Caenorhabditis elegans: one gene and its partners. The protein of the gene in region 3 interacts with the protein of the main gene of each other region in a pairwise test. Each region holds a gene or a part of one and is shown on either strand. Other genes may lie near its edges. The genes, in order: daf-4, vet-6, scrm-1 and lbp-6.

Region 1 (7,669 bases), on a different chromosome or scaffold from region 3:
AGGAATCGGCGGAGGTGGTGGACACGAATCAAAAAACGGATTCGGACTAGGATGTTGTCTCTTGCTGGGTGACGACGCATGATAATGTTGCATTTCTTCGATACCCTCCGGCTTCTCACTTTGTTCAACATCATCAACACCCCGATTCTTCATACTACTTCCACTGTGATACCCCTCCGAACTGTCCGGTGAGCTCATAATATGATTCCATACCCTCGCGAACGCACATCCAGCTGTAATCCGTGCACACGCTTCGGGATCCCACATCTCTTCCGTAACCTTTTTTAGCAGACTCATATATTCATGTTTAATAATCTCATCTCTCCATTGTGGTCGTTCCTTCTTGCTCACCACATAATTTCTCATGAGACCAATTGTGGGATCAAATCCGATGACTTGAAACGGCATTTGGTAGTTTGGTGGCTCGTCGGTTTGGTGCAACTTGGTACGGGATATGACTTCCCACATGACGAGTCCCATCGAATAAACGTCCATCGCTTTGAAAGCAGTTGGCGTGAATTCGGTTGCTCCTTCGAGCATCTCTGGTGACATGTAGCGTTTCGTTCCCACTTGACCCAGCAAATCGCTTTGCTCAATGTCATAGCTGTAGATTCGGGCGAGGCCAAAGTCCGCGATGCATGTGGTCATGTCGCTTTTCACAAGAATGTTCTTCGACTTGATATCTCTGCAAAAAATTGGTTATTGAATTGAATAAGTACAGACATTAGAAACAGTTTGGAGCATACACTAACCAGCGTCGTGCGTCGTTGAAACTCGCTACCTGCTCTTAAAAGGTAACGTAGTGTTACTGGGAGCATTGGTTAGAATCTCTCCGATAGTAAACCGAATATCATAATAACACTTTGTACACAATTTTCCCGCGAAATTTATATTCTGATTATGTTCTAATTAACTCTAGATACTTTAGGTGTTCCAATGTACAAAATTGTTTGAATTTTTATTTTTTTTCTAAACCCTAACTTTTCGAAACTTCAACTGAAAATTGTCATGCGCCTAAAAATTGGTTTTTTTTTTTCAATATTTTACCCTATCATTTTGGACTCTATCGTGTGTATTTCAAAAAATATTTACTGGAAATTGCAGCCGACAACTTGTAGGTCCACGCTACTATTAATTGATCCTGAAAATGTCGGCTGCTCAAGCGCAACTTAGCAACTTCTTCCGATTTTTTCTAGGACCAACCTAGAGTAAAGTTCTGAGCATTAAAACTAGTTGGAGGGCGATCACAAGTCAGATCCATTAAAAATTTTCTAATTATTTTCATTTTCCACTAACCTGTGAATAATTGGCTTCTTTGGGTGTCCAAAGAAGTACGGCCTGTCGTCATGCAAGAATTGAAGCCCATCGATCATTGACATAATAATTCGATTGGCAGATGTAATACTAATTACATTATTCTTGAGTAACTCATAGAGACTAAGTCGCTCATGAAATTCGGTCACAATCCAATACTCATCACCAATTTTCTCGGCGCACACAAATTCGACGATACTTTTATACCACTTCGGGTACTCGTTAAGCTCATCAAAGATTCTTTTCTCCGCCAAAAAGCTCGCTTTTTGGAATTCGTTCAATTTCTTCACCGCAACCAATCGTTTCTCACCACTGTCTGGGGTGTATTGCGCCTTGAAAACTTTTCCAAAACGTCCCTTTGAGATTAACTGCAATAAACGAACAAATGTCATTGAGTGTAAGTGTGACGTCAATCAGCTCATGAAAAGAGCCTTCTGTTGTTTTCAACATTTTTTCTCAAAGATAAAGAAAAAGTAAGGAAAAGCTCAGAGTTCACAAAGTAGTGGACATCAAAAGTTTACACCGTGAGGTCGAACTTCCGAGCAAAATATCAAAAAGACGAACTATTATGAAGACGCGAAATATGTGAATTTTGAAATCAAAGTGCAAATGCGCTCCAATGCCAAATGAAAACGTTCCCCGACACTGTTAAAAAACCATAAATTCAAATGTTTTCAGAATTGTTCGTTGTTTTTAAGTTATGTTAACAATTGTTTTTGATAATTTTTAAAAAATTCATGTAAAGCTGAAAAGTTTCACCAATATGGTTTTTTTTTCAAAATTCAAATGTTGTATTCTAGATTTAGAGAGCATGTTTCAATATAAAATATCAAGCACGACTCTTGCGGTACCTACATACCTGAAAATCAGTGATCGGCAGCTCCTTTGGTGTCTCCACCATTTCAATCATTTCCTCTTCCGGCTCCACGAGAGGCACATTTCCAGCTTCCAGTGCGTCAGTTTTTTCCTGAAAATTTCGAAAATTGATTCGATTTCAAAAAAGACAAAACTCGCCATGTCAAATTTAATTTTCTGCTGCTTTTTTATCTCCTCCTTCTTATTCTGCTGAAATTTCCAACCAACGTATGCCAAGATCAAGAGTGCAATACAAAGGATCACTGACAGTGCGATTATGATGATCCAGTAGAATGGGAACTTGTCTGCAAATTCGCTCCATTGAGAAACTGACAAGAGTGGGGGATGTGTGGTAGAGGGTGTTTAGCACCTAGTTAGTACCCAGCTAGCCCCGAGACGTAGATGCAGACAGTACCTAGAGATTCCAAATCCATGTTGGATGGAGTTGAAGCCCACAGAAGTGCAGAATTATCCGAATCTGAAATTTTATCGGCTCTAAATAGGTGATTTCAAAATGTGTACATGTTTTTATTTGTATGTGTGTGTGTGTGTACAGGCATCTTCCACGGGTGCAAATTATTACGAAAAAGCGTTTGTTTCACTTTGCAACGACACTCCGCTCACTGGAGGGGAGGAGCCAAATAACAGCAGAGTGTCGTTGCGAATCGCCTCTAGAAACAGAAAGAACAAAAGAAAGTTGAAATAAAAAAGTGGTTTACTTGCAAAGCCACAAGAACAAACATAAAATTGCATGAATGGTGTGTGTGTGTATGTGTGAGGGGTAAGAGAAAATTAGGAGACAATCTGGAGAGGTCCACGTGCATTTTTTTCGGAGAAAATTAGGAAAGGGAAGAGAAATTGGGAACAAGGTTTATGACAACTGCAGGCTTTTACAGAGGTGGATTCTTTCAGGTTGAGGGTACACGGGGAAAGGTTGGGAGGAGTATAGCTAAAGTAATGGGAAGTTCTCCATATTTTTCTTAATTTCCGATTGACTTCCACCGGAAATTTGTTCAGCTTTGGCGCAAAATATTGTCTCAGGGCTAGCTGAACTATCTTTCAATGTTTGCCAAGCTCTCTCGAGCTTTCTTCTCAACCTCTGCTCGGTTATCCTTCTCTCTCATTGTCTCAACTTCAAATTTTATCATAAACGCGTCATAAGGTTGTCGCAGTTTGGACGAACGTTTGCTGAGATCCGTAGAGACCATTCAAAATTTTCTAATGGGGTTATTCAAGTAATGTAGCAAAATGCATTTAAATACATTTGTGACGTCACAAATGTATTTAAATACATGTTTTTATCTACTTGAATAAGGTTGTGACGTAATTTTTCTACACTTTTTAATTTTCCGACACTACTTGAATAACCCCATAACCTCTCTCCAACTTTTTTTTTCAACGCTCATAAATTAGTTGAAGATTCGTCGCAGCTTCCGTCTTCCATCTGGCCCGCTCCTCAACTCCTACTCTCGTCTTTCACTTGTCGAAAGCTTGACTCAGATTGATCACACTTCGCGTCACTTTCCCTATTACTGTGGCCGAGCTCAAACCAAACATCGCCAAACTCTCTCGAACTTTCGCCTGAACGCTTCTACATTAGGACATATTGCAATTTGGTGCTTCTCATTTGCTCGCAACGTTTGCCAACTTCCGTCCACTATCTCCCTACACTCGTCGTTAGTTTGCCACATTTTTGTCTAACTTCCTGGGAATTTTCTCGAATGTGCTCCAACTCTGTCGTATTTTAGTTGATGGGAGGCAACCTCCGTATGATGAACCGTATTTCGAAAAAATAACTAGGCACAGACACGCGTGGTTGTTCAACTTTCGTGAAAATTCTGCTAACTTAAAGCTAAATGTTTCACAGAAAACCTCTCATTTCAATGCCAACAATTTCTCCCTAGCCTCTAGCCCCAACGCTCACCCGAAAGAAGGTTATTTAAACAGAAAGTGGGACAGAAAGAAGGTAAAAAAGGTAAAAAGAAGGAGGTGATATATATGTATATTCACAAAAACAGAATCATTGCGTGTTGCTCTAGTATACTAAGAATGGGGTTAAACATGGGATATAGTGCTCTCTTAATATAATGTGCTCACTGACCCTTCTTCAATGACGGGTTGACCATCTCGATGAGATCCGGCATGTTGCAATTGTTGGTCGAACAGCAGCACATTCCAATTCCGCCGCGAAATGATCGTCCTTGGCGACACTGAAATTCCAGTTTTATGAGGTGCTCCGAATGCTGAAATATAACTTACGGAGCTTTCGTTCTCGCAGTTCATCGAGTCCGCGTGCTGATACGGCATACATCCCAGACTTTTGTATTGCGGTTTATCAACTTTCAGGTATGGTTCTGTAGAGTTTATCTGGAAATTTTAAGATTTTTGATGTTTATAATATGGATGCATATATCTATTATTATCCCCTTTACTCAATTAATCATCTTTTGAAACATGGGCAGCTAAATCCGGATTAGTTGGTTTGCACATTTTTAATGGATTCGATCAAAATTGGATTGATAAACTCAACAACTTTTAAGTTTGGTTTGAAGAGCTTTGTAGCAAAGGAATAATAAAGCCTTGATCATTAACTTTTTCCGCAGTATTTTTTTCAATTTGAATCAAGTTCCACGTTTAAATCCTATGTCGCTCAGTAAATTTTCAAAGTCGTCTTCAAAAAGGCCAAAACCTTGCTCATATGTATTTGTTTTCGATAAAACTAATGCAATTCTGATTTTAATTTTGATATTCAAATTCCATCCTACAAAACTATCAAAAATCACGAGTCATGTCACCCCAATTTGTTCCAGCTGACAAAGTCATAAGCCAGAATGGAAAAAAAAATGCAAAAGATACAAATACTTCCGCGGATGAAGAGGAAGAAGATGTCACTCATGAATAACAAATGAAACAATATATATAAAGGGCCCCCGTCATGTGACACAGTTCGGTCTGGGGGTGGCCGCCAAAAACCTCTTCCACACTAACCTCTTGCGTGGGCAGCCCAAATACGGCCAAGCATCCGACGGCTTTCAGATGAGCTTCACTGTAACACGTCTTCTTTGTGATTTCACAATCGCCACTCTTTTCGCATTCCATCTCGTCGTAGTACTGCAAAATTTTAAAGTTTAACGTTTTTACTACTGCTTTAATTTTGGGGAAGAGAGCCTATAATTATGGAATAGTGATAACACTTGAAAAACAAAAGGAGTTGTAGTTATTGTAGCTTGCGGGTTTGAACTTATCCCTTTTAGAATATCTTGGTACTTTAAAGTAACTATAGTTAATTGAAACAAGGATCAGTGGAATGTGGGTGGATTGGCTCTGCGACCTCTACAAGGGGAACAGGGCTCACTGGAATTAAAGTGTATTTGATCCAGTAATTTTTAAACAAACGGGAGAGTCACTGATTTCTGATCCCCAAAACGTCAACACTATCTAATGAGCCTAAATTCCATCAAATTGATCCAAAAACTTACTACACATTCAATCGAAATCACTTCATCCTCCTCATTGTCCATTCTCCTTAACGTGGGCTTCGCTGGTGCCGAGACCTTAATAGTGCCAGTTCCATTTGACTGTGCTACTTTGCTGACTAGGGTGTTAGCCCACTGAAAGATGGTTAAACCAAGGAGATAGAATAAAATAAAGAAGTTTACGACAAAAACACATTTTCTCAAAAAATGCTCACCTCTTTCTCGGCGGCTTCCGATTCGATTCGGTCCTGACGATCGTCTTCCGTGACTGCAACAGGAACCGGTGTGGCAATTAAAAAGAGTGGAAGGCAAATGAGCACAAGTGCCTTGAGACGTACTGTCCCTTTCTGATTCATCTGAAAATTGAAGGTAGTTGAATTATTGTAACGTTTTTTTTAAAGTTGAGGAGTAAAATAAATAAATAATTAAGATCAAATGTTTTATTGAGAAAAATAGATGCAAACTTATTTAAATAAAAAAAATAGGTCAACAAATTCAACTTGAGAAAAAATAAATAAAATTTCAAAAATTCGAAAATTCGAAAATTTCGATAAAATTAAATAAAATTGCCAGCTTTGCTAAAATTTCCAGCTAAAATTTTAAAAATTTAGTTTTGATGAAAATTAAATTTCTTAATTTCAAATAAAAGCAATCGAAATTTCGGATAAAAAAATTTCGAATTTCGACATTCGAAATTTCCAATTTTTTTAACAAAAAACTTTTCATTTTTTTAAAATAAAATGTTTGAATTTTACTTCGATGCACCATGAGAGTTCAAAACTTTCAACTAAAAAATGTCAACCAAATTTTTCAAAAATTCCGTAAAAATAGGAATAAATTGCACAATCTCCATCAAACGAAAGATGTGAAAAGTGTTAAGGAAGCACAAAAAGTTTGCAAAAAAAATGAAGTGAGAAGCACACATCAGAAATGAAGAGAGAAAAGAGAAAAAGAACGAGGAAACAGCAAAGATTGGTACACTCTTATCACTTTTACAAACTCTACTCTCTACTTTTTGTTTCAAATAAAAAAAGGTTTTCATTCAATGTTCTCTAATAAACAACAACAAAAAATCAAATGACGTGACAATCTGACCTACAAGAACCTTACAAGAGGGGCTCGCTGTCCTCTTGTGCTCTTTTTCTCATCGGAGGGGGCTAAAGTTGGGCGGGGCCCAAACAGAATGAAGGCGGGATCTTCCGGGGTCTATAGAACGGGAACTTTGAGAAAAATATAGTATCGATGAACACCTGCACCTTATAGGAAATGGGCGAAGTTCGGACTAACTGGACTTTCCATATTTCGGTTCCCAAAATACACTAGCAATTCGAGGAAAAATTAAATAATGTGCTATACACATGTAATGTAACCAAAAAAAGTTTCTCAGGATTATATTTCGTGCGTGGTACCAGGAAAACGTATGTTTTTTTCAGCAGAACGGAATTGGAGTAGGCGTGGGCTCGGCTAAAAGTCTAAAATGAGATTTAGGCTTGGGCTTAGGCTTAGGTGTTCGTCCAAGTTTGGGCTAGATGTCGGGCGCTAAGTTTCAATAAGTTTTCTGTAAAACGTACGAAAATAGAAAGTACCACTCAACGTCATCCTTTCCTTCTTCTTATTCAAAAACATGTCACCATTCGTTATTTCAGGTGAATTTATACTTTTCCTCCTGCCTCAAGCCTCCCCGTCACATTGAATCAAGCGACTTAAGTGGGAGAAGAGAATGTCAAAACGAATATTTTTTGAACATTTTTCATATATTTTTTGTGTTTACCTTGACAACAACAAAGCACTCGCTTTTTTCTGGGTATTATTCACTCGTTCTATTTTTGCAGCAAAAGCCGAAAAAGAAAAGGGGGAAAAAGAGCGTGAAACTCGGCGAAATTCACATGTGACCACGGTGGGTTTGTTGTTGTTGCAGAAGAAGGAGGAGAGGGTAGCAGCAGGCGTGTAAGACCAAAGCTCTCTTATGTTAGATGAAGAAGAAGAAGAAGGAAAAGAGCAAAATAGTAGGAACCTGAAGGCCT
Region 2 (5,000 bases), 1.6 Mb from region 3:
GTTCGTATTTGCTTCAGAGGCCATTTCTCGGCTCCCAATGATTTTCGCAGCACCAAACTTGACCAAAATGATCTTCCCCACCTATTTATTACTATTCAAATAATTGTTGAAAACATTTATTCATATGAACCAAATGGTAAAGGGAGCAACTGCAGTGATTTTCAAAAGGCTTGATTTAACTATGAAAACTAGCGTTTGGAGGCGCAGAGCTGATGGTTTTGACTTCCTATTGTACAGAATTTTAGCTCATCCGGTTCAAATATCCTTGAAGCTTTGATTTTGATTAGAAGTCTTCGAAAATTTATTCGGAAAAGTTCATGAGACCGCTCAAAAGAGGACAAAGGCAAAGCGAGGCCGCAAGTATTTTTCTCAAGCTAACACGCGAAAATTTTAAAGACGAAAGTAAGATATAACTTTCTGAATGGCGATTTTTCTAGCTGTATTTATAACTCAACTGAAATTTAGCGAATTTGCTCATTGAATATTTCTATGGTCAAAGAACCTAAAAGCTAACAGACAAAACCTGAATCGGTGAATGTAGATGTCTAGCATTTGATGTATCCATGGATTTCCACAGATTTGATGTTCACATAATATAATTTTTTTTTTTTGCTATAATTTAGTAATTCTTAGTCGAAAATGTATTACCAACCTTCAGCTCTGCGCCTCCAAACGCTAGTTTTCATAGTTAAATCAAGCCTTTTGAAAATCACTGCAGTTGCTCCCTTTACCATTTGGTTCATATGAATAAATGTTTTCAACAATTATTTGAATAGTAATAAATAGGTGGGGAAGATCATTTTGGTCAAGTTTGGTGCTGCGAAAATCATTGGGAGCCGAGAAATGGCCTCTGAAGCAAATACGAACGTTCCAGGACAATCCTAGGCGTTCCACGTGTTTTCAGGGGTTATATTTATTTTTTAAATGTGAAAATGAAACCGTCTGAACATTTTGTTGTAAAGTTATTCACAAAATAAATTTATTAATTAAGAAGAAAACCCCGATTTTACCGAAAATTGCCAAAAATCAGAGGGGGTGCTATAGAAGTTGGACGGCCATTTTTCCGATATTTTGACCTAATTCCTGTGATTTTTGAGATATCATAATGAAAATTGGGGAGCATAGGTTTTTCAACATTTGCTATCGAACTGCACTAGCACTTTTTCAAAAAATATTTTGAGAAGCTCCAAACCGCCAAATTGGAGGGGGGTGCTATAGAAGTTGGACGCACTGTATACCCTAGTTTGAAATTGCTTGGCAAAGTAAGATGAAACATTAAAAGAAAAGGCACTGTAATTCAGCAAAACAGACTTGACTGTACGTCCCAATTTATTGCAAGAGTGGGAGAATATTAGTGTCATTTGACAGATGCTCAGTGTTTTTCTAGATATTCGGTCTCCTGGGACTCCACTATAAGAGGGTTGCCATCGTCTCCTTTTCAGACAATGGCAGGCTCCTCCTTTGTCCAGATAAATCACTTTATGGGTAATCGATAACCCAAAACGCGCAAATGGAGTCTGACAGATTTCAGGCACCTTACCACTCAGTCTTCCAGTCATTCAATCTTCAACTGCCCTTCCTGGTTGGTGAGCTGGTTTTTTCTTTCCTTTTTTCAATTATTTTCCTTATTTTTCTGTTACCTGTTTTGTCGTATTGTCTTGTCTAGAAGATTCTAATTATCTTCAATTTCCAGAAAGTAAACTCCAACGATGAGTTCCAACTCTGCACTTGAATTGAAATCTGCTCTCTCACAACTCAATCGCGAACGTTCTGAAATGGTCAAAGATCTGGAAAAGGCACAAAAAGACTATGTGGCTGCAAGAAACATGCACAAGTCTACTGGCTCTCAAAATCACCTTGAAGTTGTTAACACATGCTGGAAGAATGTTCAAGCGGCACAAAAAGCTCATCAGAGCAAAGTAGAAGAATTTCATATGGTTCGCCGTTCATTCGCGGATGCAGTGAGGGAGAGTCCGGAATCTTGTTCTATTAAAAATCGAGGTCAGTTTTCATTACTCTTTGAAGATTATAGATTTTCTAATCCTTTAATTTCAGAAAGCAATCCATCTTCAACCAATGATCAAGATTTAGCCGCCAAAAAAGCTGTTCTGGATGCCGAATTCCGAGAAGAAGCCATCAGAGACGGAGTTTTTATCCCAACTCAACGATACAACTCTACACTTCCACCACCCTTGGTTCGAAATGAATATGTTGCCGAACCAAAGAAATCGACCGCTGATGAAGATTTCGAAAAGCGGATGGTAGAGCTTCAACGTCAAGCTTCGAAGTATGCAAAGATTGGTGATTCAGCGGTATTAAAAGATCGCTCAACTGGATTGACAGCTGCTACCATACAGCTCTTCGCAGAATATTTTCCCAAGCGCCGCGAGCTGTCAAACGCTCGAAAAGACTTCATGACAGTACTGAATTTGCATGCTTCTACTGGTTTTCTAAAATACTGTGAAGCGGTTAATGCAAGCAGGAAACACTTAGAAGCGGTAGAAGAGGCTTATCGGAAAACAACCAATGAGCTTTGCAAGGATCTTAATGAATATCCGATGGAGTCTGATAAAGATGTCAAAGAGCGTGCTTCAAAGTATGCAGAGATCTGTCGTTTAAAGGAATCAGAAGATCAACTTTTGGATCTGCTAAAGCCGGCATCCAGCGAATTAATCCCGTTGTTCAATGAAATAGTGAATCTGTCCGGCATTCGTACCAAGAAGACACCGACTCAAACCACTGAAGCCTCACAGATTGCTCCAGAAAGCATTTCTACCTCAAATGTAGATCCAGCAACTCAACTAGATCCTGAAACTACCCAGACATCACCGCTCACCTCGGCCCCAGTTTCTTGGTTCAACTCTGAAAGTTCCGATATAAACCAAGGTAATTTAATATATTTATTAATATACGAAACTATAATTAATTATAAAATCTTTTTGCAGACATCACATCATATCCGGATCTAGTACACCACCCTGGTGTAGATTCCGAAAAACAGATGGTCGAGTTTCATCGTCAAGCTTTGAGGCTTTATGAACTTCAGACTTCTCAGACACTTGCTTCTTGTTTTGATTCTGAAAGTCAAGAAGTGAACTCATTGCTCAATAATGCGTTCGTTGAAGCCTCAGAGATTACTGAAGAAAACATTTCGACCACAAATGTAGAATCTACATCACAGTCAGAGCCAACAGAAGTAACTCCAGAAACTACCCAGGAATCAGCACCCACCTCTGCTCCAGTTGTCTGGTCCGAAGCCCCAGGATATGGTGCGAGACAAGGTAACTAATTAAGTACCACAAATCTTTTAATCATATTATTATTTTCAGAATGTAATCCTCGGATGTGCACCAACAGACAACACTCTTCTCCAATCAGGATCCGTCATTGCACATCAAGAAATGTCACAACTTACAGTGTCTATTGCTGGAAGAGACCTTCTCACGTATACACCTACAATCATCAAGAGGAGAAATTCGAGCAGCACAAGTGTCTTGCCTGTGTTCCAAGAGTTCAAGAAAACCACTTATTCCCCACGTGTGCAGTTTGGAACGAGAAAATCTCCAATTTCGTGATTTTCATGGACAATATGGTGACAAAGCAAAAAGATGAGCAGTACATGTTCAGCTTCAAGACTGGGGGATTCGAGCAAGTGAACTATCCGGAGGTGCAACCAGCTCAAGGACCGAAAAACACTGATTTTGTAGCAGCAGTCAATGGAGATGGAGATGATCAAGTGATCATCCAAAAGTCACGATTTGGTGTGAAGAAGCTGGAGTTCAGATATGGAAAGTATGTGAAGATTCCGAGTGTTGAAGTGAGAACTCTTTTGATGAAGGAGCTGGAGGGTGTGGAGATGGTTCAAGAACCATCCAGTACTCTTCCATTATCCACAATCCGCTGGTGTCCAACATACAGTCAGAGTGCTCTCTATATCTTCTCCAGTCGATTGGGACATTATCTCAAGTACGCATTCAACCCATCTACACAGCAATTCGAGCAACTCAACTGTTCGGGATGCCCATTAAATGTTGAGGAATGGCACTTGTGTCCATTATACGCAGAGTACGCTGATTCTATCAAAACCTATGTAATTCATGTCTTCAACGATTTCACAAAGGAGATTGAGAAGTATATGTATTGCGTGACAGGAAAATGTTTCTATCAAGTTACATGTCCGGAAATCGTCTACGATTCATCGAAGGCCCATAGCTCAACAGTGCTTTTCACCGTTTCTGCTCCAAATCACCCATTCACAATTTTTATGAAGGATGTTAATGGAAGAATTAAGAAGGAGCAACTCAACGGGCTTCACAATGGTTATATGGAACTTCCCAGCGCCAAAGTCTACACGTTGTATGCGATGAGATGTAATAATTCGGCTGGAACTACCGGCATCTGAAAATATATTCATTTTTGCAATATTTCCATTTGATTTTCATTGTTCTGACCTGTCCTTTTTTGATAATTAATTTCAATAAATTATGTTTTTTTATTAGAATGCAATTTTATTAGAAGCAATTTATAAGAAGCAAATTTTATTAGAAGCAATGGCTTAGGTTCCCCGAATAGGGCCACTGAGATTCTTAAAATACTTTCGAGCCAGACCTAGGTAAGTAGGGGAAGAGAAAAAATGAAATAATGAGTGGACGAAAAAGTAAAATGACCAATTGGACGAGCTATAGTCTCCGGGAGGTCAAGTTGGGAAGAGGGTGTCGGAGGGAAATAGAGCCTAGGCGCGACGTCTACCGTAGACAGCCCTACCCTAGACTAAAACATGTTTCAGGTGTGTCTCAAACATTGATACACGTCTCAATTTGAATTTGTCCACTAAACGGTATGACTGACATTCCACTTTTTCTGCTTGAACTCAGTGAATATGAAACTTTTTCAAATTTGGTTTCCAAATTCTGAAAGACCACAAAATTTGCAACAAAATGACAGGGATTTTTGAAAATGTTAGTTTAAAGCTAGATATGATTTTTTTAAATTGGAAAAAT
Region 3 (4,651 bases):
TATGTAGGTTTAATTGAAAAAAGCTAAAATAACCCCTGGCTATTATCAGTCCCCGCCGACTTTGATGTCAAGCTCAAGGCTGTGCTCCTTGGAGCCACGTTTTTGATTGTGAGTTTTTTTGGTTTTTAGGGCAGCCGGTAAATATTTCAAACATCTCTTTCACTTGGTACACCATGATCTCATCTAAGTATGCAAGGTACTCTAGGCCGGCGGGAACCCCTTCAATTGCTGGGAGCGCTTCCATTCAGATGGATCCTGGAGCCGCTTGTATCGGAGCTCCCGGTTGAGTTGTAATAACAGCTCGGTCTTGCAGTTCAACGTAAACCGGTGGAGCAGGGTTAAGAAGTTCTTGCTCCATTTTTTCAACCTGAAAATTTTGCAAATAGAGCTGATCCTGTAGCAAAGGGCTCGCGGAGCAAAGCGTTTTGGAGCACATTTCATAGTGAGCAAAAATACACATTTCGTGAATTTTACACTTTAAATAATCAATATATGTAGTAAACTATTTGAATTATCGATTTTTCAAAAACAATTTATTTTTGATATATAATTTTGTGAGAAAAAAGTGGGTGGGACAGACACTGAAAACTAGAAGAAATGGGCGGGGCTTGGAGACCTGAGAGTGGGCGGGGCTTAACAAGGAAATGTGGGCGGAGTCTGAAGGAAAGTGACGTCATACATATATTGGAAGAATGCGTTGGAATAATAAGAAAAACGTTTTTAAAAAAGTTGGCTTTTAACAATTACAGTCACAATTGCAATCACAACCATCGGGGCAGCAGCATGCGGAGCTTGCTGTACCTTTAAGAAGAACTGTAATAGGCTCCTGGAATTAAAAAAAGGTCAATTGACAAAAAACCGGGATTGCATACCAAATTATGCTCTAATCACCGAAAAACACAGCAAAAATGTAAAGCAAATGGTAGAGGGTTAAGCAGACGGACGGTTAGACTGAAAAAGCAAAAAAAAATTGATAATTCAAGCGAAAATCCATAATTATCCCAAAAATCAATAATTTGGACGAAAATTCATATTTTAGGGAAGACACCAATCCTTTTTCAATATTCGATAATTTTCACATAAATCAATAGTTTTTTTTAGACAAAAGTTGATAATTTAAGCAAAAATCAATAATTTCCACAACAAAAAAACTTCTGTTAGCAAAAAGCGATAATCACAAACCTCCGTTATTGCGGTTTTGGCTCTGTTGCTCAAACTCCATGAAATCCTGAAAAATTAGCAAAGTTACAGTAATTCTACAGCAACCAAACTTACAATCAAAAACGTGGCTCCTATCAGTACTCCTTTGAGTTTGACGTCCAGGTCGCCGGGGACTGAAAATTGCAAGAATTATTGATTGTATGGACGGGGGCGACTTACAGTTGACGGCGAACGTGTCGGCGTCGGTGAACGCCTCTCGGAAGCAACCTCCCCATTTTTTGGTGATCGCGCCGACAACTGTGCCGTTGTTGGCGGTTTTGATCTGAAAATTTTGAGGGTATTGAAGCAGCGGACATTTTAGGGGGATAGGATCTTCAGCCGGTAGCTCACTGGCTTCCCGACAGACCCGCAAAGTGTCGGCTGCTCGGCAACCGCTGTTTCTTGGGTTATTCGACAAAGCCGCTAGGTGTCGGCTGCACAGCACAAGTCAGCAAAGCAGGTGGTTCAAGCAGCCGACACTTTACGGGTGGCCAGTAATCCTAGTAAATTGCGGCCGACGCCTCACTGGCAAAACCTCAGATAAAGGGCCGGTGAAAATTTTGGGATTTTCAATACATTCACAGCCTCAGGTAATATTTAGCGGCCGACATTTCACAGCACCTTGCAATCAGACAAGCTAGCATGTACCTTGCAGCCGACACCTCTCAGGACCCTAGAACTTCACCTACCGGAAACTCCTTATCCTGACATCCGCAAAGCATGCAACAGCATGGACCATCAATCTGGAAGATCACATTTCCATCTCCATCCATAATATCATAATTCGACGACATGCATCCACACCGCTGACGGATGATACCCAGAACACCCATCGATGGGGTCTCGATGATACATTCCTGCTGGCAGCATCCGATGCATGCCAAGCATCCACAGCAACCACCTCCGCAACACTTGAACTCACGCTTGATGGTCAGAACTTCCTGGAAAATTTGAAATTTCAGAGCATGTGGATCAATTTTGGCTTGGTAGGCCTGAAAATTTGGGCTCAGGATTGCTCCGCGAGCTTGTTGAACCAGATGCTCCGTGAGCTTACCCTCTTAAAGTTATCCACAATATGCATGACGAATCCACGTTGCGGTCCACAGCACTGTCTCTCACAGCATCCGGACTCCTCGAACGCGTAGTAACACTGTTCTCCATTTGCATTCTTGAGCACGTACTTGTTCTTGGTCTCCCAGTCCGTCACAATCTCGATGAGCTCCTTGATTTGATGCACCATGATTGTATCCAAGTAGGTAAGATACTCCAGGCCTGTAGGCACACCTTGGATTGCTGGTGGCATTGGCATCCACACGGAGCCAGGAGCCGGCTGCACAAAGACACCTGGCTGAGTTGTGATTGCTTGTTGGTGCTGCTGCTGATGCATTTCGAATTGTTGCACTGGATTCATACCCTGTGGGTTGTAGCCCGGTTGTTGGTTTATTACTGGTTGCTGCATGGTTATTTTCTGAAAAAAAAACACTTGAAAAATGAACAAAGCACAGTAGATTTAGAAAAAATTTCAAGATAAAAATCAGCAGGAGGAAAGTTCTGGGGCACCTAGACTTTTTGTAGAATCAAATAGTAAAGTTTTTATGGGCTCGCGGAGCAACAGGAACTGATACAATTCAGCGCTACAATCTGGTAAGCATAGTGATTCACGTGACGTGAAAAAAAAGATGCTCCGTGAGCTTGCACAAAAATGTTTTCGAATTTGATCTAAATTTACAAAACTTCAGCTTTAAAGCTTTCAGCTCGCGGAGCACCAATTGAGCTCAGTCTTAAACATTCTTAAAATTAGAAAATATGGCTCTCAAGCTCCTGAAAGCTGAAATCAAATTTCATAATAAAAAGCTTTACATATCAAAAGTTCAATGACGCCATACAACTCAATGATTAGAGGGGAATAAGGAGAAGCAATTTGTGCACGGCACAGACAATTTTAAATCTGATTAAAACAACCTCTATTTCTGGCTCTCAGAGCACCAAATTCAGATGTGGGCTCAATCTTGCTAGATTCAGCTAGCTGAAAGCTTTAGTTTGACACCCATAATGCCTATGCTACCTCAAACTTAATGTAGGGCTCTGTTGCTCCGTGAGCACAGAACACTCCAAATCGTAATTAATCCTGCTGCTCAATTCACTAAAAATTTGAAAACTTGGCATCCATATTGTATAGATTACTTTAGTTTGAAAATTTCCGCTTTCATGCTTCCGTGGAGCACCAAAATGCTTCGCGAGCTCAACGTGAAAAATATTGAAACCTAGGCAATATGGGGCTTGAATTGACGCTCTAAGGGAGCTGAACTTATAATAAAAATTTTATGATAAAAATTAACAATGGCGTTATTTTTTTAAACAAAAAATTGCGGAGCACCAAAATGCTCCGTGAGCTCAATATGGAAAACACTGAAACCTAGGCAATATGGGGCTTAAATCAAAGCTCTTAAAAAGCTGAACTCAAATTCGTATTAAAAAAAAAATTTAGTGATTGTGAATAAAATAGAAAATAATGTGGGTAATTTCAGACAACGTTTTTGGAATTATGTATACCCTTAGGGTTTTAGTTAAAATATACCCATTTTGTCTGAAATTACCCACATTATTTTCTATTTTATTCACAATCACTAAATTTTTTTTTAATACGAATTTGAGTTCAGCTTTTTAAGAGCTTTGATTTAAGCCCCATATTGCCTAGGTTTCAGTGTTTTCCATATTGAGCTCACGGAGCATTTTGGTGCTTCGCAATTTTTTGTTTAAAAAAATAACGTTTTTGGAATTATGTATACCCTTAGGGTTTTAGTTAAAATATACCCATTTTATCATATTATCAGAGGTTCCACTAAAAAGTAGATACTAAGAATGGTTTTTCAATGAAAAAATGGGCGAAACATTTTCACCAGTTTTCCAAAAAATCATAAGTCAGCCAGCTAACTACACAAACAAAAGGGTTGCGTGGCCGGAATACGGAAAAGATCAAAAAATTAGGAGAGACGCAGAGAAATCAAAGATTTTCAGCTGTCTACTTGCGATAGCTACCATGGTAACCATTTAATACATATGATTAAGGCCAAACAACACTTTTTTTCGCTTTTTTTGTTGAATTAAAAAACGTGTTTGAATCATAGAGAAAGTAGGGGAGAGAAATGGAAAAACGTGAAAAATGAAAGAGAAAAAAAAACCAATGAAATTTGAACAGAAAACAGTGGTGATTCAGCAAATATACAAAATACAAAACTACTTTTTTTTGAGTGACGTCACTTTTTATTGCGAAAGTTGCTCGGAAAGCTCAGAAATAATATCATAGAAGTTTTTGAGAACTTGAAAAAATTCGAAAATTAGAAAATTAAATTGAAAAAAAAAAATTTTTCATAAAATTTTTAAAATTTTCTAATGGAAAATAATATATTTTTCAAAGGGTTTCTTAATTTTTTTTTGGAAATTTTTAGAG
Region 4 (3,449 bases), 5.0 Mb from region 3:
ACTCTGTTTCCACGTTTTTTATCAATTCATTCAAATACTAATCAATGCGAAAAAGCGTCAAAAAATCAAAAATCGCATTTGTTTCAGGAAGAAGGCAACTCTTGGGTAACAACTGAACCGTATGCAAACGATGGAGCAACTATTTCGGCGAGTTCATCAGTTGTATTCACTGATGAACAAATGTTAATTGGAAGTTCATTTGGAAGACTTCTTCATTGTGATCTTACGCATTCATATATTACATAGTCAAACTTTTAGAGCTTATTTAAAAAATAAACCGATGAATATGATCTAGAAACAGATGTGTTGTAGACATTGTATCTAGATTTATTTATAAACTTGTCGAGGCGTAACGGGGGCGCCACGCCTCCACCCCTTTTCAATAGCCTTCCAGCGTTTTAGAGGAAAGTCGATTTATGAGAATTTAGCAGCTTTCAAATTAACTAATTTCTCGTCACAATTAGTCATTCTTAGTGTCTTGATTCGAAGTCTGATAATATATTTCTCATTTATTGCCATAAAGAAATAATTGTAATACTTTAAATTTCAATATTTACTATTAAATATCACAGGAAGACAAGAACAAAGCTCATGTTGGGAATTGAGAATCTATTCGCGAACGTACTCGCGGCGAGAAACAACGGATCCAGATTCAAGAGTAGTGATAAGCTTGTCTCCTTCGAGCCAACGGGTGATAATTGATTCCTTATCAGAGTCCTTGATCTTCTTTTGAATGTGAATGAATTTTCCGTTCTCGAAGTTGACAACTGACTTGACGGTACGGCCATCTGGAGTGGTCTCATCGAATTCCTGGGATAAAAACATTAAATATAAGTCTGAAGAATGCTAGTTCAATTTCAGGGTTGAAACAATTTTTATTGGATACAATTACTTGGAATTTGGGGATAACTTGCTCAAACCAAAAGCTCAAATGGATAGGATAAAATGTTGGCAGGAATTTGCTCACAGCAAATTGTGGGCAGAAAGTCGCTAAACTTTGTCCACAATTGCCGATATCAACGAACGTGCATTTTGAAATCAGATATTGTTTCTCATGGCTTTAAAAAAATATTATTCGTGCATGAAAAAACACGAAAACTATGGGAAATACATATTGTTTATCAAAGTCTTATAACAAGAAATCAATGATCATTTTATGATTTATGGTTTGAAATGTTATCACCTGGAATTTTAAGACTTTTTGTCTGTGAATATGGAAGTAACAATTTTTATTCATAAATTTGTAGTGCGTTTCTTTATTTTTATGTAACTTTTTTGTCGCAAATTTGGAATCAGAAAACCCACATTTTTTTTGATAACATTATTTTTGTCTTTTGTAAGTAAAAAACTTTGCACTTTCTTACCTGTCCCAACTTGAAAGAAAGAGTGGTGTTCTTGAATGTGGAGTATTGGTTGGAATACCACAAATCTCCTTCGACCTTGATTTCCAAAGTTGGCTTCAAGTTGGCAGCAGCCTTACGAGTGATCAATCCAACTCCAACCTCCTTCATGTACTCCTCGAAGTTCTCTGAGTGAATGAGCTTCCAGCGTCCAACGAATTCTTGAGACATGGTGATGGTTCTGTAAATAGAAGAAGTTGGAAAAGCAGGTAAAAAGTTCAATAGATTAACGGATATGTAATAGGTCTGAATAAAACGTTAGTCTGAAATTATGGTTAAAAAATCTTATTTTAAAAATTAATTTTAGAAGATGAACTATCATATCACTTGCAAATGGAAATAAAAGAAAAGTTGCAAATCAACAAGAAAACGAATGGCAATGCCTTGGGAAATCATTCGTATTTAGGTGGTCTGATAAATGGAATGATAGGGGGCAAGAGTGGGCGGAGATTCAAAACGTTTTCTCTATTTCTGTCTCCTCTATTTTTCGTTTCGTTTTTTTTTGAAGAATGATTCATTTTTTGATTCGTTGCATCATTTTTGAAAAATAAAAATAGAAAAGAGGAAAAGTGAGGAATTTTCAGTCGAATAAAAACAAAAATATTATCAAAAAAATTCTGAAATTTCTGAGGAGGAAAATATCGTTTTTGATTAAAGTATATCTAAGTTTTAATTTTTTTTAAATTTATTTTTTTTTGAGGTAAAAAACTAGTATCTTGTACATATATAGAAGCCCATTTTCAAATTGTGAAACTTAAACAATCTTCTTTTTTTTAAAATAAAGTAAAAATGCATTTTAAACAAAAAAATTTATTGGCAATGTTGTTTCAAAATTAACATATACATACTTTAATTCTGTAATTAAATTAAATGTTGAATCTCATCATAAATTGTGAGCACAAGAGCACCTCCAGTTGCTCGGAATACATTTGAAAGACCTCCTTTGTATAATGCAGTAATTCCTTCATTCTTCACAATCTTTCTAACACAATCCAAAGTGTTTTTATAGAGAATATCCTTTCTCCCTGATTGCATCATCATTCGACGACGTACTGTATCCCATGGATATGATAAATATCCAGAACCAACTGTTCCAACTTGAGCAATTGCCCATGTCGTAAAGAAATTGAGTTTTTGCCCGTCAGTTGAGTACAATGTTTTGGCAGTATCAAACATTCCGAAATATGCTGCACGATAAATTATAATTCCTTGTACTGAAACAAAAAATCCTCTATAAAGACCAATTGGTCCATCTGATTTCACAATTTTCACAAAACAATCCGTTAGACCTTGAAACTCTCTATCCACTCCTTTTCCAACATCGGCTCCAAGACGAGTACGCACAAAATCCAGTGGGTACACGAAGCATAGAGATGTTGCACCAGCTGCTCCACCAGAAGCGAGATTTCCAGCAAAGAATTTCCAGAATTCTTTATTCTTGTCAATTCCTTCTTGAAACATCTTCTTATAAGTGTCTTTGAATGCAAAATTCAGCGCTTGCGTTGGAAAATATCGAAGCACATTTGCAAGGTTTCCTCTCCAAAATGCTGCATATCCTTGTTCTTTTGGCACTCTAGCAAGAACATCCATAATTCCTTTATATTTTTTATCGGCAGTTACTGTTTCAGAGACATCACTGACTTGAAGTAGAAGCTTTACACGTTCAATTGGAGCAACGGCAGTTTTTGAGATTGCTGCAGCAGTGCCTCCGGAGGCGAGATCAACAAGAAACTTTCGATAATCAAATCCTTCCTTTGTGGTCATTTTGTCCTTCTGGAATGTTTTTTTTCAGAGATTATATTTCCTGAATGCTGATAATAAAACTTTCTTCAAATGCGAGTAGGAAGGAGCTCACTAGACTCTTCTCAAAATTTTGGTCATGAAAGTCTAATCAATATAAAGAATAAAATTAATTTAAAAAAAAAGAAAAATCTAAAACAAAAGTGTTTCTTTAAAAATTGTTGAAACTAATGAAAAATTTTACGGAAAATAAACAAGGCCTTTTTTAACAGAGACAGAGAAAAGAAAAGGGTTTCTGGTCCTTTAAAA

Evidence for each region.
Region 1: the proteins of scrm-1 (region 3) and daf-4 interact in a two-hybrid assay, tested with the Caenorhabditis elegans proteins (one study listed by BioGRID).
Region 2: the proteins of scrm-1 (region 3) and vet-6 interact in a two-hybrid assay, tested with the Caenorhabditis elegans proteins (one study listed by BioGRID).
Region 4: the proteins of scrm-1 (region 3) and lbp-6 interact in a two-hybrid assay, tested with the Caenorhabditis elegans proteins (one study listed by BioGRID).

What each region holds. Positions count from the first base shown.
Region 1 is NC_003281.10:5,623,474-5,631,142, reverse strand, and holds the start of daf-4 (Cell surface receptor daf-4), read right to left. Parts: upstream 6,002-7,669; coding exon 5,861-6,001; intron 5,781-5,860; coding exon 5,649-5,780; intron 5,281-5,648; coding exon 5,158-5,280; intron 4,537-5,157; coding exon 4,429-4,536; intron 4,380-4,428; coding exon 4,271-4,379; intron 4,200-4,270; exon of another isoform or gene 2,937-4,199; intron 2,648-2,936; coding exon 2,585-2,647; intron 2,475-2,584; coding exon 2,329-2,474; intron 2,282-2,328; coding exon 2,174-2,281; intron 1,683-2,173; coding exon 1,297-1,682; coding exon of another isoform or gene 1,272-1,296; exon of another isoform or gene 1,045-1,271; intron 686-1,044; coding exon 1-685. UniProt on the Caenorhabditis elegans protein: Involved in a TGF-beta pathway. May be a receptor for TGF-beta-like ligand daf-7. Controls the decision of whether or not larvae enter a developmentally arrested state, known as dauer, in response to environmental conditions.
Region 2 is NC_003279.8:13,268,291-13,273,290, forward strand, and holds vet-6 (Very Early Transcript), read left to right. Parts: upstream 1-1,693; 5' UTR 1,694-1,709; coding exon 1,710-2,001; intron 2,002-2,055; coding exon 2,056-2,886; intron 2,887-2,945; coding exon 2,946-3,281; intron 3,282-3,329; coding exon 3,330-4,402; 3' UTR 4,403-4,492; downstream 4,493-5,000.
Region 3 is NC_003279.8:11,688,163-11,692,813, forward strand, and holds scrm-1 (Phospholipid scramblase), read right to left. Parts: upstream 2,669-4,651; 5' UTR 2,660-2,668; coding exon 2,255-2,659; intron 2,142-2,254; coding exon 1,890-2,141; intron 1,484-1,889; coding exon 1,381-1,483; intron 1,335-1,380; coding exon 1,276-1,334; intron 1,229-1,275; coding exon 1,183-1,228; coding exon of another isoform or gene 1,175-1,182; exon of another isoform or gene 952-1,174; coding exon of another isoform or gene 947-951; exon of another isoform or gene 827-946; coding exon 804-826; 3' UTR 520-803; downstream 1-519.
Region 4 is NC_003279.8:6,727,796-6,731,244, forward strand, and holds lbp-6 (Fatty acid-binding protein homolog 6), read right to left. Parts: upstream 1,582-3,449; 5' UTR 1,572-1,581; coding exon 1,365-1,571; intron 811-1,364; coding exon 610-810; 3' UTR 501-609; downstream 1-500. Other genes in the region: mec-6 (Mechanosensory abnormality protein 6), read left to right, coding at 88-246; ant-1.2 (ADP/ATP translocase), read right to left, coding at 2,262-3,164.